3 linked regions of the Oryzias latipes genome follow. The protein of the gene in region 1 interacts with the protein of each later gene in a pairwise test. Links are inferred from orthologs where the notes say so. Each region holds a gene or a part of one and is shown on either strand. Other genes may lie near its edges. The genes, in order: bnip2, frk and myo5b.

Evidence for each region.
Region 2: the proteins of bnip2 (region 1) and frk interact in binary tests that used the Homo sapiens proteins (3 or more experiments, as listed by UniProt). The two-hybrid records come from large-scale screens. The link is inferred for Oryzias latipes from reciprocal best matches to the Homo sapiens genes BNIP2 and FRK.
Region 3: the proteins of bnip2 (region 1) and myo5b interact in binary tests that used the Homo sapiens proteins (3 or more experiments, as listed by UniProt). The two-hybrid records come from large-scale screens. The link is inferred for Oryzias latipes from reciprocal best matches to the Homo sapiens genes BNIP2 and MYO5B.

The regions. Positions count from the first base shown.
Region 1 is NC_019864.2:17,091,669-17,095,320, forward strand, and holds the end of bnip2 (BCL2/adenovirus E1B 19 kDa protein-interacting protein 2), read right to left. Parts: intron 3,628-3,652; coding exon 3,529-3,627; coding exon of another isoform or gene 3,525-3,528; intron 2,237-3,524; coding exon 2,201-2,236; intron 1,718-2,200; exon of another isoform or gene 1,574-1,717; intron 1,171-1,573; coding exon 1,113-1,170; 3' UTR 328-1,112; downstream 1-327.
Region 2 is NC_019882.2:21,458,191-21,461,842, reverse strand, and holds part of frk (tyrosine-protein kinase FRK), read right to left. Parts: intron 3,490-3,652; coding exon 3,368-3,489; intron 2,208-3,367; coding exon 2,044-2,207; intron 1,970-2,043; coding exon 1,801-1,969; intron 1,164-1,800; coding exon 1,005-1,163; intron 1-1,004. UniProt on the Homo sapiens protein: Non-receptor tyrosine-protein kinase that negatively regulates cell proliferation.
Region 3 is NC_019870.2:377,131-380,782, forward strand, and holds part of myo5b (unconventional myosin-Vb), read right to left. Parts: intron 3,443-3,652; coding exon 3,305-3,442; intron 3,237-3,304; coding exon 3,139-3,236; intron 2,220-3,138; coding exon 2,133-2,219; intron 2,041-2,132; coding exon 1,929-2,040; intron 1,855-1,928; coding exon 1,643-1,854; intron 1,495-1,642; coding exon 1,338-1,494; intron 959-1,337; coding exon 719-958; intron 631-718; coding exon 400-630; intron 316-399; coding exon 222-315; intron 123-221; coding exon 1-122. UniProt on the Homo sapiens protein: May be involved in vesicular trafficking via its association with the CART complex. The CART complex is necessary for efficient transferrin receptor recycling but not for EGFR degradation.

The sequences.
Region 1 (3,652 bases):
TTTCTCACTCCACCCTGATGCAATAAAAAACAAAAGTCTTGAAATGTATAAACTATAATATTTCTGTTTTGGTAATGCTAAAAATGTTGAGATGTTTATGAATGGCAATGTAACATTTAAAAACCACATATTTGTAGTTTTGAGTTATATACTTTTGTTTTCCTCCTATTGTGCTTAAAATGAAGGCATTTTGACCTTTTAAAATATCAGGCATTAAATGTGATTACGCACATTCATTTGGTGGATACAGCTTTTCAATACATTTTCATTAAAATTCTTTTTGTATCTTAAATTTTCAGTAAACGAAATAAAAATTCAAAACAGAGATGTGACTTATTGTCTTTACTTTGGTAAAAATAATGACGAGATTGTGCTCACAAATACCCATCCACCACTAGAGGGCGCATTCAAGAACACGGTTACAATCAGGAAGTCCTGTAATTTGTTGTCGGACTCCTTTTGTTGGCCAGGAATGTGCATGACATGCTGGTTTGGTTTGAAGATTTCTGCTTTTATGTCCAGTTCCATACGCAACATACTTGTGACCATTGATGAGAAAAGTGGCATAACGACGTTTTGACTAAAATGTGGCCCCAAAAAAAAAAAAAGGTTATTTTCTCCAGGCACGATTTGAGATCGTCAGCAGTAGGCACTGGCAAAAAAGGTCCATTCAAAAGGCTTTCTATGAAACTCTACGACTCAGAGACCTAAAATTCCATTTAAAAAGCAGACCATACAAATATATTAATCTCTCTCCTTTGACACCATTTGAATATAAATATATATATTTAAATGTAATAAAGCAGAACATGCATTAACCACTTGTAACAGAGTGACTTTAGCGGTGAAGATACAACAGAAACGAATGAACACCAATAACCCAAAGGTGACATAACAGACGGGGGTAAATAAAAGGATTAAAAACATTCCAAAAAACAGAGCATTAAACGGCTTGATACAAACATACAGCCCAAAAAAAAAGACATGATGATGTAACAGGCAGGAAATCTTCAAAAAGCCACTTTCATGATGCAAGATGCGTTTACAGATCATTCTGAAGAAAAACATGGATGCGACTGCAGTTCCCAACGTTTTTTGCACGTCTTGCAGAGTCACTTCGGAGCAGCAGAGGCAGCAATCCCTACTTTGCTGTGCATTTCCTGGTCGATTCTGCAAAACAGATCCAGTAATCAGGACACTTCTCATTTACAGTCGTCAGGGGGTGTATTGGTGGTGTATCGTTAGGTGTATTGGGTTACCCCACTTTCAATGAACCTTGACTCCTAAACTGATCCACACCTTTAAAGGTTGAGATGGGTGTCTGATAAGAACTTTACAACAACCTCATGATGGGTCTGAAGAGCAGGAATATCAATACAGTTCTGCTGAAGACACTAAATGAATATTTGTTCCTGCTAGTTTACCGTCTGTCACATGTCGCGTCTGCACACAGAAAGTGTACTAAAAACTCATGCACTTTTGTTGTCAAATGCCAGAAAGTTGAGCGAATTCATGCCTTAATACGCTGATAACACACACAGTGAAGATCCCAAAAGTGACAAGTTTAATGTACCTGATATTTATTATCGATGTGCCCACCCAGCTAAAGACCTCTAACAATCATCAAACATCGGCAGGGAAAAGCAGTGGAGCAAGTCATGCACAGGGGAGTAAACAGGTTGGGTGGTGTTCAGTGAGGGATGGTTAATGGACATTACTGTAAGAGAAGATGAAGGTGAATGTGCAGCAGTGCAAACACGCACACCACAGTGACTCAGATGAGATACTTCCTTCCTTTCCGTCTTAATCTGTTCAGTTAAACAGACTTGACGGACCTAACAAATGCTAGCCACGCTAGGCCTGTTTCATTGCCTACAATCCAGATTCCACCAAATGATCAACATCACTGAGAAAGATTGTACTAAAAGCTTCATAAGTGGGTTTTACACCAAATGCTTTTTTGAAGTAGAAAGATTTTTTATGGGAATATTGCAGAATTGGACTAGACAACAACAATTTGTTTTCCTGGAAAAAAAATGTCTGTTGAACTGGAGAGAATGCAAAACAAACTCAATAAATCCTAAATCTATGAAGAGCGGGTGCCTTAGTGCATCTCTGAAAGCTACCAGATTCTCTAATTGTTAGTTCCATAAAAAATAAAAAGGATGCAGTGACCAACCCTTGAAGAAAGTGCCAATACCTTTTTGGGTTTTTCCTATTTTTTTCAGCATCAAACCTTTAGGAGGGGGCAGGGAGACTGGGTTAAGCACATGAAACATGACAACTAACAGCAAATTCAACAGAGCAGACACTTCTTCCTAAATGTGTTAGGTTGAGGTGGTGTACTGCCTTTAAAAACATTGATGGAAAATGTTCTGAAGGGCAAAAACTGTTCAGCTGCATACACAACACGCATTCAAGTGACCACTTTAGATGTTAAGTCTGTGTAAAGGTGCAGATGAGGGTTTCAGGCTCATTCATTCATCTTTTAATCCGTTTTGTCCCTTTCGGTGTCACAGAGCTGCTGGAGCCTATCTCAGCCACTTGCGGGCCAAGGCAGGGGACATCCTGGACAGGTCGCCAGTCTGTCACGGGGCCACAATGACAGGCTGAGAGAGCACATTACTGAAGGTGGATCACACGCCCTGTGTACGGAGCTTTACGCAGGACTGTTTTTATTACGGTACATTTTGTCTGTGCCTTATTGTCTTAAGATCATCTGAGTCAGAATGATAAAGGAACTTTGCTTTTAATTCTCTTTTTTATGGTAATGGTTCTGTTTTAGGTCAAAGCATGCACCTCTCATCTGAGGATTTAATTTCATCCCGGCCCCCTGAGACGTGATAACTGTCCCTTTCATTTAAAATGATTTAGGCTACATTAGTTATAGTTCCCCAAGAGTAACTCGCACAGAAGACTGCAACTCAGTGGACTGTATCTAGTAGATATGGTCACAACCGGCGGATGAAGTCCGAACTGTCTATTCAAGGAGTTTGAAGGATCACACCTGGACTCTCACTGCCAATTAAAACTCAAAAGAAATGTTTTGGAAATAAACATGGGCCCAAAAAGAGCAGAGCCAATGAAACATTTTTTTTTACTTCTGCTGAAGTTTTGCTTTGAATCAACAATAGAAATTTGTTTAAAGTAGGGATGTCACATTATCGTGCAATTTGCAATTGATTACAGTCAAATTAGCGCGTCTTAAAAAAAAAAAAAATCATGTTTATCTAATTTCAAATCTTAAACAATTGCCATGTTCTCTGTTGTAACTGTTTACTTGGATGGATGTTTTTTATTTGAACACACCTGAAAATGTCTCTTACATTGCTCCCAGTGTGTGGCTTTTTAAAGCAATTATTGAGTAAAGAATAATTGTGATTAATAATTACAGGTCACAATTAATTAATTAATTGCATAAAAAAATGAATCGTCTCTTAAATGAATTAGTCTACACCTACATTTTCCTGCTGTCTTGACTTTAACGTACTAAAAGCCTGTCATTTTTTGGAAAAACATGCTACTTACTGTTTGATACAATCTGGTATTGACACATACTCCATCGGGACAAGTTCAGCAAGGTCCGTCAAGCTGTAAACATACTTGATTTTCTGGGTAAATTTAGAGCTGTAAAAAAAAAAATTATGTAAGA
Region 2 (3,652 bases), on another chromosome or scaffold:
AATAATCCTTTTGGGTCTATGCAGGTGTTTTACATGATCTAAATAGTCTCTGAACATGTCTGTGGTTGTGTAGTTGCATGGCTCGCTGTGGCCCGACAGTGGCTGGGATAGGCTCCAACAACCCCGTGGCCCCAAAAGGAATTAAACATATTTTTAAAAACGGATTGATCAAGAAAAACCATTCTGAAAATCTGGATTTTCCGACCATAGAGGATTGGTTTAAACAGAGGTTTTGAAGATTCTTCCTCTGGAAAGATTAACACATGCGCTTCGTGACAACATTGACGAGTTTAAAAAAGTCTGGCAACCAGTTCTGGATAAGACTAATCTTTCTTTGGATTGAACTCTGTTCTGGTGAAATGTGAAAAAAAAAAAAAACCTGTACTAGCCTTTTGCTGCTGGTGATGAAGGTTGATTGGTGATTTGTTTTTGTTTTTTTGTTTTTTTAATTTTTTTATTTTATTTTAATTATTATTTCTTTTAACCTGCTGCCTGTATATGTTAGGTTGTGATGTTAAAAAGAAAATATGGGTTTGTAAACTTCTTTATGTTCTATTTTTCATGGTTGACTATGTTTTCACTACACAAATAAAAAGAGAAAAAAATGGATTGATGGAATGAAAGGCTAAAAAATCTGATTAGTTTGCATCTGACCCAGTTTTGAGGATCAAAATGGCTCTGCAGATACTTCATTTTCATTCTTAAAACAAGATTTCTGGGTAAAATCTTTTACCCCACGTTTGCTTTTAGAAATTCTAGACCTTTTGGTACAAAGACTACTTTTTATGTAAATCAATACAGCTACTGTAAATCTTGCCAGATAGCATCACCAGTCAGCACACCTGTATTATTTAAAATGAGACCTAAACTCTTCCTCATTTTTAGCCAGTCTGTTTTATTCCTAGTCTGTGCAGCATCCCATGATGCCAGCTGTGATCTGAAGCGCGGCTCTGGAGCCTGATCCTCCAACGGAGCAGAAGCAGCTTAAAGGAAGGTAGTCTTACTCTGCAGGTAGTCCAACAGGCTGCCATGCTTCATCAGCTCAGTGATGATGTAGATGGGCTCCTGCAATGTGCAGACGGCGTACAGCTGGATTAGCTTGGGATGCCGCAGCTTCTTCATGATCTGAGCCTCCATCAGGAAGTCCTTCGGATCCATGGAGCCTGAGGGGTGGAACAGAGTTTCTTTAACACAGGTCATGGATCTGAAGTGGTATTTAAGGGTGAATAGATGCTCCGCTTCCTCAGGATTTCATGTTCAGACAGAATCTAACGACACTCATCCAAGTCTTCATCGCTAAAACTACAAGTTCTTGCTTTACAAAACCATTCTCAGACAGCTTCTGATCAGAATGCTCCCTCTGAAAAGTTCATCCAAACTCATCCCTCCTGTTGAAGTTTTCACCCAGACCTCTGGTCTGATCTCATTGTTTCCTAACTGCTGCATTTAATTCATCTGTTTTCTTGGCAACTTTATTATTCTGAAGAATTTGCTTGATTTCTAAATAAAAACCATAAACAGTTTGTGCAATTAAACCGTTGTACATTAAAGTGATAAGAGCAAAAGTTCCTTATTGCCGTCGTGTGATAACACCCGACCAAACTTCATGAAAACTGAACAAAGTTCAGGTGGATTTCAACTTCCTGCTTTCTCGAAAAAAGCTGTTCTTCCTTTTCAGCCTCCTTCTTTATGGCTTTAAATGCTTAAACGACTAAAAGGATCTCATCTTCTGCTCAGTCCTGCTCGGAAAAACTAATTATGTTTCACTGTCGATGCACAAAGGAGATCATGCTTGTGTACCGGGTTTGAGGGTCTTCACAGCTACAGGTGTGGTGTTGTTCCACAGGCCCTCATACACTTCTCCAAACTGGCCGGCTCCCAGTTTATTCTCCATTTTGATGGAGCTGCGATCGATCTCCCAGATGTCCGCTGTGTTGTAGGACAGACCGAAGGTCTGCGGGGCCTCCAACTGCACAGACAGGAGCCAGTGTGGGTGAACTGGACTGTTTCAGGTCTGGGTAATGAAAGTACAATAAACCTCACCTTTTTGCACGGTTGGCCAAGACGTACGCACAGACCGTCAGCCTGTTTGGAGTAAAATTCCACCAACTCTTTCAAATTTGCAAAGGATCTGTTCTTAGACACAAAGAAGTCACCGTTGGGGGCTTTCCTTAGCTTGTAATGCTTCACCTTTCCACTGTCCAATACTAGAAAAAAGAAATAAAGTCAAGGATTAAAGTAAATAAAATGACAGACTTAAACTTTTTTAGATTTGGGAATTCTTAAAGCATGAATCAGTGCAGCCAGAATCACCTGCACTGCTCAGTTTGTCTGAAAAAAAGAAAAAAGCTTCAGAACCAAACTCCACTTGGATCATAGGATAAAGTTTATGATCTGTTTTAAAGCAAAAGAGGCTTAAAAGTACATTGAACTCAAACTCCAAGTCAGAGAAAACCCCCACCTGTAAAGCCTTATTCATGAGACAATAAAACATAAAGCATTATTTTCTCAGTCAGCCTTTATAAGCTTAGTTTAGGGAAAAGTAAAATAACAAGCGCTAAAGTAAAACTAATAAATACATTTCCATTCAGACTGTGGTTAAATGCACTTTAATACATTGAAGGCTGTTCTCCAAGACTGAAATGAAAAAAACTGGGGGGTTTTTTCTGGTTAATTCTGCTTCAACAGCTCACTGAACTTGAACTGAAGTGTTGACAAATCCTGACTGATCAGCCGTGTCCATTTTCAAAATGCTCCTAGCAGGATAAGCCAAAAGGTGAACAACTCCTGAGTCTGCAGGTCGTTTATTGCTCTGTGAAGAGCAAACACTTGAGTACGAGTCTGAAACTCCGGAAGGTGTGAGGAAATGTCTGCACGTTCTTACAGCCTGGAGCAGAACCAAGAACCAACAAAGATTACAGTCAGGAGGACAAAAATAGAGTCTTGAGTCTTTGTGGGGTATTTTTGGATGGCTCGTTGAAATAAAAGCTGATTTCCATGAGTCACATTCAAATGTGTGACTCATCCTGACGACAGTGGGTGTGAGCGGAAACGGATCAGGAACCGGTCTAAAGAATGAGCATGCTCGGAAGGAATTCTGCATGTGGAAAGAACCAGGCCACACAGCAAAATCAGATCATAGGACTGAGATAAAGTTATTGCTCTGTTTTTATGTGGTTGTTTAGTCCTAAACTGCCCGTCATTACACTGCCTGACCTGCACTCCAGCTTCCTGAAAAGATAAAATGGCGTGCTGTGATTTACAGCTCTGCTGCAGAAATGAATTTTAAGTCTTATCTTTTCCTTTAACGGAAAACTGACCTGCAGGACCAATTAGCGATTTCTATAAATGAATTTCCTCGACTGACCTGAGAGGGACAGCTCTCCCTTCTGACTCTCACAGTCTCTGATGAGGAAAGCACCGTGAGAGTTCCCTTCAGCCAGCAGCATCTTCTCAGCATCCAGCCTCTTAGTTTCTGGAAAGTACCACCTGCAAGATAATCAGGAACACATAACATCTGAATGTCAGAGAATCCATTTTTTTATATCATTTTCAGATCAAAGATGTGTTCTTGAGATAAAAAAAACTTTCATCTTTACTAAATAAAATGATAATTTTAAGAAACTCTTCAAACTTCTGGTCATCAGTTCAC
Region 3 (3,652 bases), on another chromosome or scaffold:
GCTCTGCTCCTCCTTCAGGTTGTCGTACCGCTGCTCCAGCCTGGAGAACTCCTTCAGGAGGTTCTGGTACCGCCGTCGCTCCTCATCCAGCTCCGCCAGCAGAGACGCACTGCTGGCCTCCACTGTAACACGCAACACGCTTCCCACTCTCAGAACACGAGAACCTTGGATCCGTTTCTGCTCTTTGCTCTGACCTCCAGCCGCTGGAGAAGGTTCCTCACCTTTGCTGTTCCTACTCTGCTGCTGGATCTGCTGGTTGAGCTCCTCCTTCTGGCTTTTTAGCAGAGTGTTCTCCTCCTCCAGCTCCTCCACCCTCTGAGGAGCAAAAGGAGACGGTTCTCCGGTCAGGCTCTCCGTCCTCCTGACCCGCTCTGCAGATTCACCGGGCCGTTCCTTCACCTGTGACAGTTCCGTCTTCTCGCTGGCGTGCTCCTCCTCCAGCTTCTTCCTGGCGGCGATGGCCTCCTGCAGCTGCTGCCGCAGCCTCTCCAGCTCCTCCTGCAGCTCCCGGCCTCCGTCGCTCCGGTGGCTCCGGACCTCCTGCAGCTCCTTCTGCAGCTTGGAGACTTCGGAGCCCAGAGTGACGTTTACCGTCACCAGCTGCTCGTTCTGGACCTTCAGCTCTTTGGTCTAACGCACACACACATTCAGGGTTGTAGCTTGGACCTGCGTGCATGTGTGTGTGTGTGTGTGTGTGTGTGTGTGCGTGCACGGTCACCTGATCGTCCATCTTCCTCTGCAGCTGCACAATCTTCATCTCCATGCCGGTGTTCAGCTTCTTCAGGTGCTCGGCGGAGCGCGCCTCGATCTTCCGCTGCTTCAGTAGCCGTTTGGCCTGCATGCACCTGAACGCACACTGAATGACCACGGCGGCGGCGCGCGCACGTCTGAACCTCCTTCTCTGTAGCCAGCCGCGCACGTGCTTCTGGATGATCATGGCCTTGTGGTGCAGCAGGAACTGCAGAAGAAACGTGCACGTGAGGTCCAGCAGCAACCCAGAGCTGTGTGTGTGTGAGTGTGTTCCTGTGTGTGTGTGTGAATATGTGTGTGTTCCTGTGTGTGTGTGTGTTCCTGTGGGAGCAGACGTCTGAACTGCTCCTCCTGCATCTGAGGAGGTTCCTGCTCCTCAAAGCCTCTCTGAGAGGAGCAACAACAGGATCTGGGTCGGACTAGATCCGCTCTGGGTTCATGAAACCTCCTGGGAGGAGAAGCAGACAGAACATCCGACCTGCAGGGGACCTTAATCCTGCAGTTCTGCATGAGGAACCCTGAAGAACCCTGAAGAACCCTGCTCTCATCCTTCTGGATACCAGACCGAACAGAACCTGGGTCCATACCTCCCAGTAGATCCTGCGGGTCAGCGTTCCTCGGGTGAACGCCTGGATGGTGACAACGGCCCTCCTCTTCCTCAGGTAGGCCCGCCTCTCTCTCACCATGCGGTACTGTTTCTGGCAGAACAGGGCGGCCCGGCTATGGCGCAAGAACTCTGCGTACCTGAAGGAGAACCGGACAAATCCATAAACCTCTTCCTTGAAGGACCTGAACGGTTCTGGAGTTCAGGTGAACAGAACAGGAGAAGGTTAAGGGTTCTGCTGCTCAAGGACCAGAGCCTTGGACCGTCCCTCGTCTGAGGGGGACTCACCTGCGGGCCAGGTACCCCCTCCCGTATCTTTGCAGCGCCACGGCAGATCTGCGAATCTTGCGGTACCGGATCCTCTGCAGCCACCCCCGGACCGTCTTCTGGATGGCGATGCAGGCGGAGCGGAATTTGTCGGCCCGCAGCTTCTCCAGGTAAGCCACCTGGCCGGCCCGGAAGAAGATCTTCGTCTTCCCAAACTGGAACATGTCTGGTTCCTGCCGACACAGAGGAACGTGGATGCAGATCTGCCCGGCTGTCGTGCCGCCGCACACGCCCGCTTTCTTCTCACCTTAATCAGCGTCTCCAGCAGATTCTTACAGACCAGCTTCTTATCTGCAGCAGTCATGTCGGATCTCTTCATCAGAACCCGGTACCGGCTGAAGAACTCCAGGTACGTCCACCTGAACACACGTGCACACGCTTACATGCAGAGTCACATGACTACAACAGGTGACTGACAGAACAGATGCAGGAAAAGTTGTGCTGAACTTACCGCGACGGATACCCAGCAGCGCTGATCCGGATCGTCTCCAGAACTCCACAAGCCCGGAGCTGCTGCACAGCTCGCCGGGAATCAAACCTGTGTTGACACAAACATTTGAAAGATGTAGGTGCTTTCGGTCCCGAGCAAACCCAGCCGCTCACCTCATGGTTCTGCTGGACATCGGGACGGACGGGCAACGGCCCGACTGTCTGCTGCGGATGCCTAACACCGCGTGACCCGATTAGATTATCTAGAACAGCACATTCCTCACACAGCAGCTCCGCGGTTGTGACCAAACTCAGAGGTCACGAGGGTGCAGCTGATTGGCAGAAATGTGATGATGTCATCAGGAAGTCATGAACCTCTGGACTCACATGAAGGGACAGAAACCCTACGAGCATTTGTTAGGGTGTTGGGGGGGGGGGGGGGGGGGCATCCACCCCAGCAGAAGATAAACACCCACCTGAACATGTGATCATGTGACAGAATGAAACGCTATACACACGCGTGTGTGTGTGAAGTGTAGTTGTGTTGTTTACATGTTGACATGATTGTATGTGAAGGTTTTTGGAGCCAACAAGTATGTTTGTAACACCTGGGTTTGTGTGTGCACAGGCCTCTGTGTGTGTGTGTGTGTGTGTGTGTGAGACCATGTTTCTAATGTGAATGAGGGTTGCTTTTTGGGTCTTGTTTGAAGATGGTCATTTGGCCAAAACATCATTGAAAAGTGTCAAACCATCATCCCATATTTTTGCTGCTTTCCAGGGACGGCAGTCCCGCCCCTTTATGCTGTGATCATGTGACCTCAGCCCCACCCCCAAACACATCCACAGGAGTCCGTCCAATGAGAGGCAGCAGATGTCAAACCCAAGCAAACAACCAGATTATGGTGGTGGGCTTGGGTTCGGACCGTCTGAGGTTCTGTCATCTCTGTTCTCCAGGAGATCCTGCCTTCCAGCCCTGATAGAACCTTCCAGAACCAACAAACCAGTCTAAATCTAGCAGAAAAACTCACGAGAAGGCCTCCTTAAGGTCATTGGGTTTGATGCAGCGGACGTAGTGGGGCGTGGTGGCGTTCAGCGTGTCCATGAGGAGGTGCAGAGACGAGCGGAACTGAAACCCAGACACAGATCAGTCCAAACTCCAGACGGTCCAGGATCTGGGGAGACCTGCCAGCTCACCTGGAGCCCCACCGACTTCCTGTGCTCCTTGTTGGGAGCTTTTGGAGTCGACTTCAGAGCTCTGACGTTCACCCTGGAGGGCTTGGAAGAGGGCGGGGCATCATCCTTGTCCAGAAACAGATCGGCCACCATCTGAAACTGAAAGAAGACGAGGGTTTGCTCCAGACTCATGGGGGGACCAGGAAGACCGCAGTAACCGAGGTGACCTCTGCCAGAGACTAAACCTTCTCTCCCGTCCCAAAACCACCAGCAGATCAGCTGGAAGCTTTGGTCGGATCAGAGGCGAACCTACGATGGAAACTCTTTTTTGTTTCCGTTCAGGCTGCAGGCGATGAGTTCAGAGCCTGA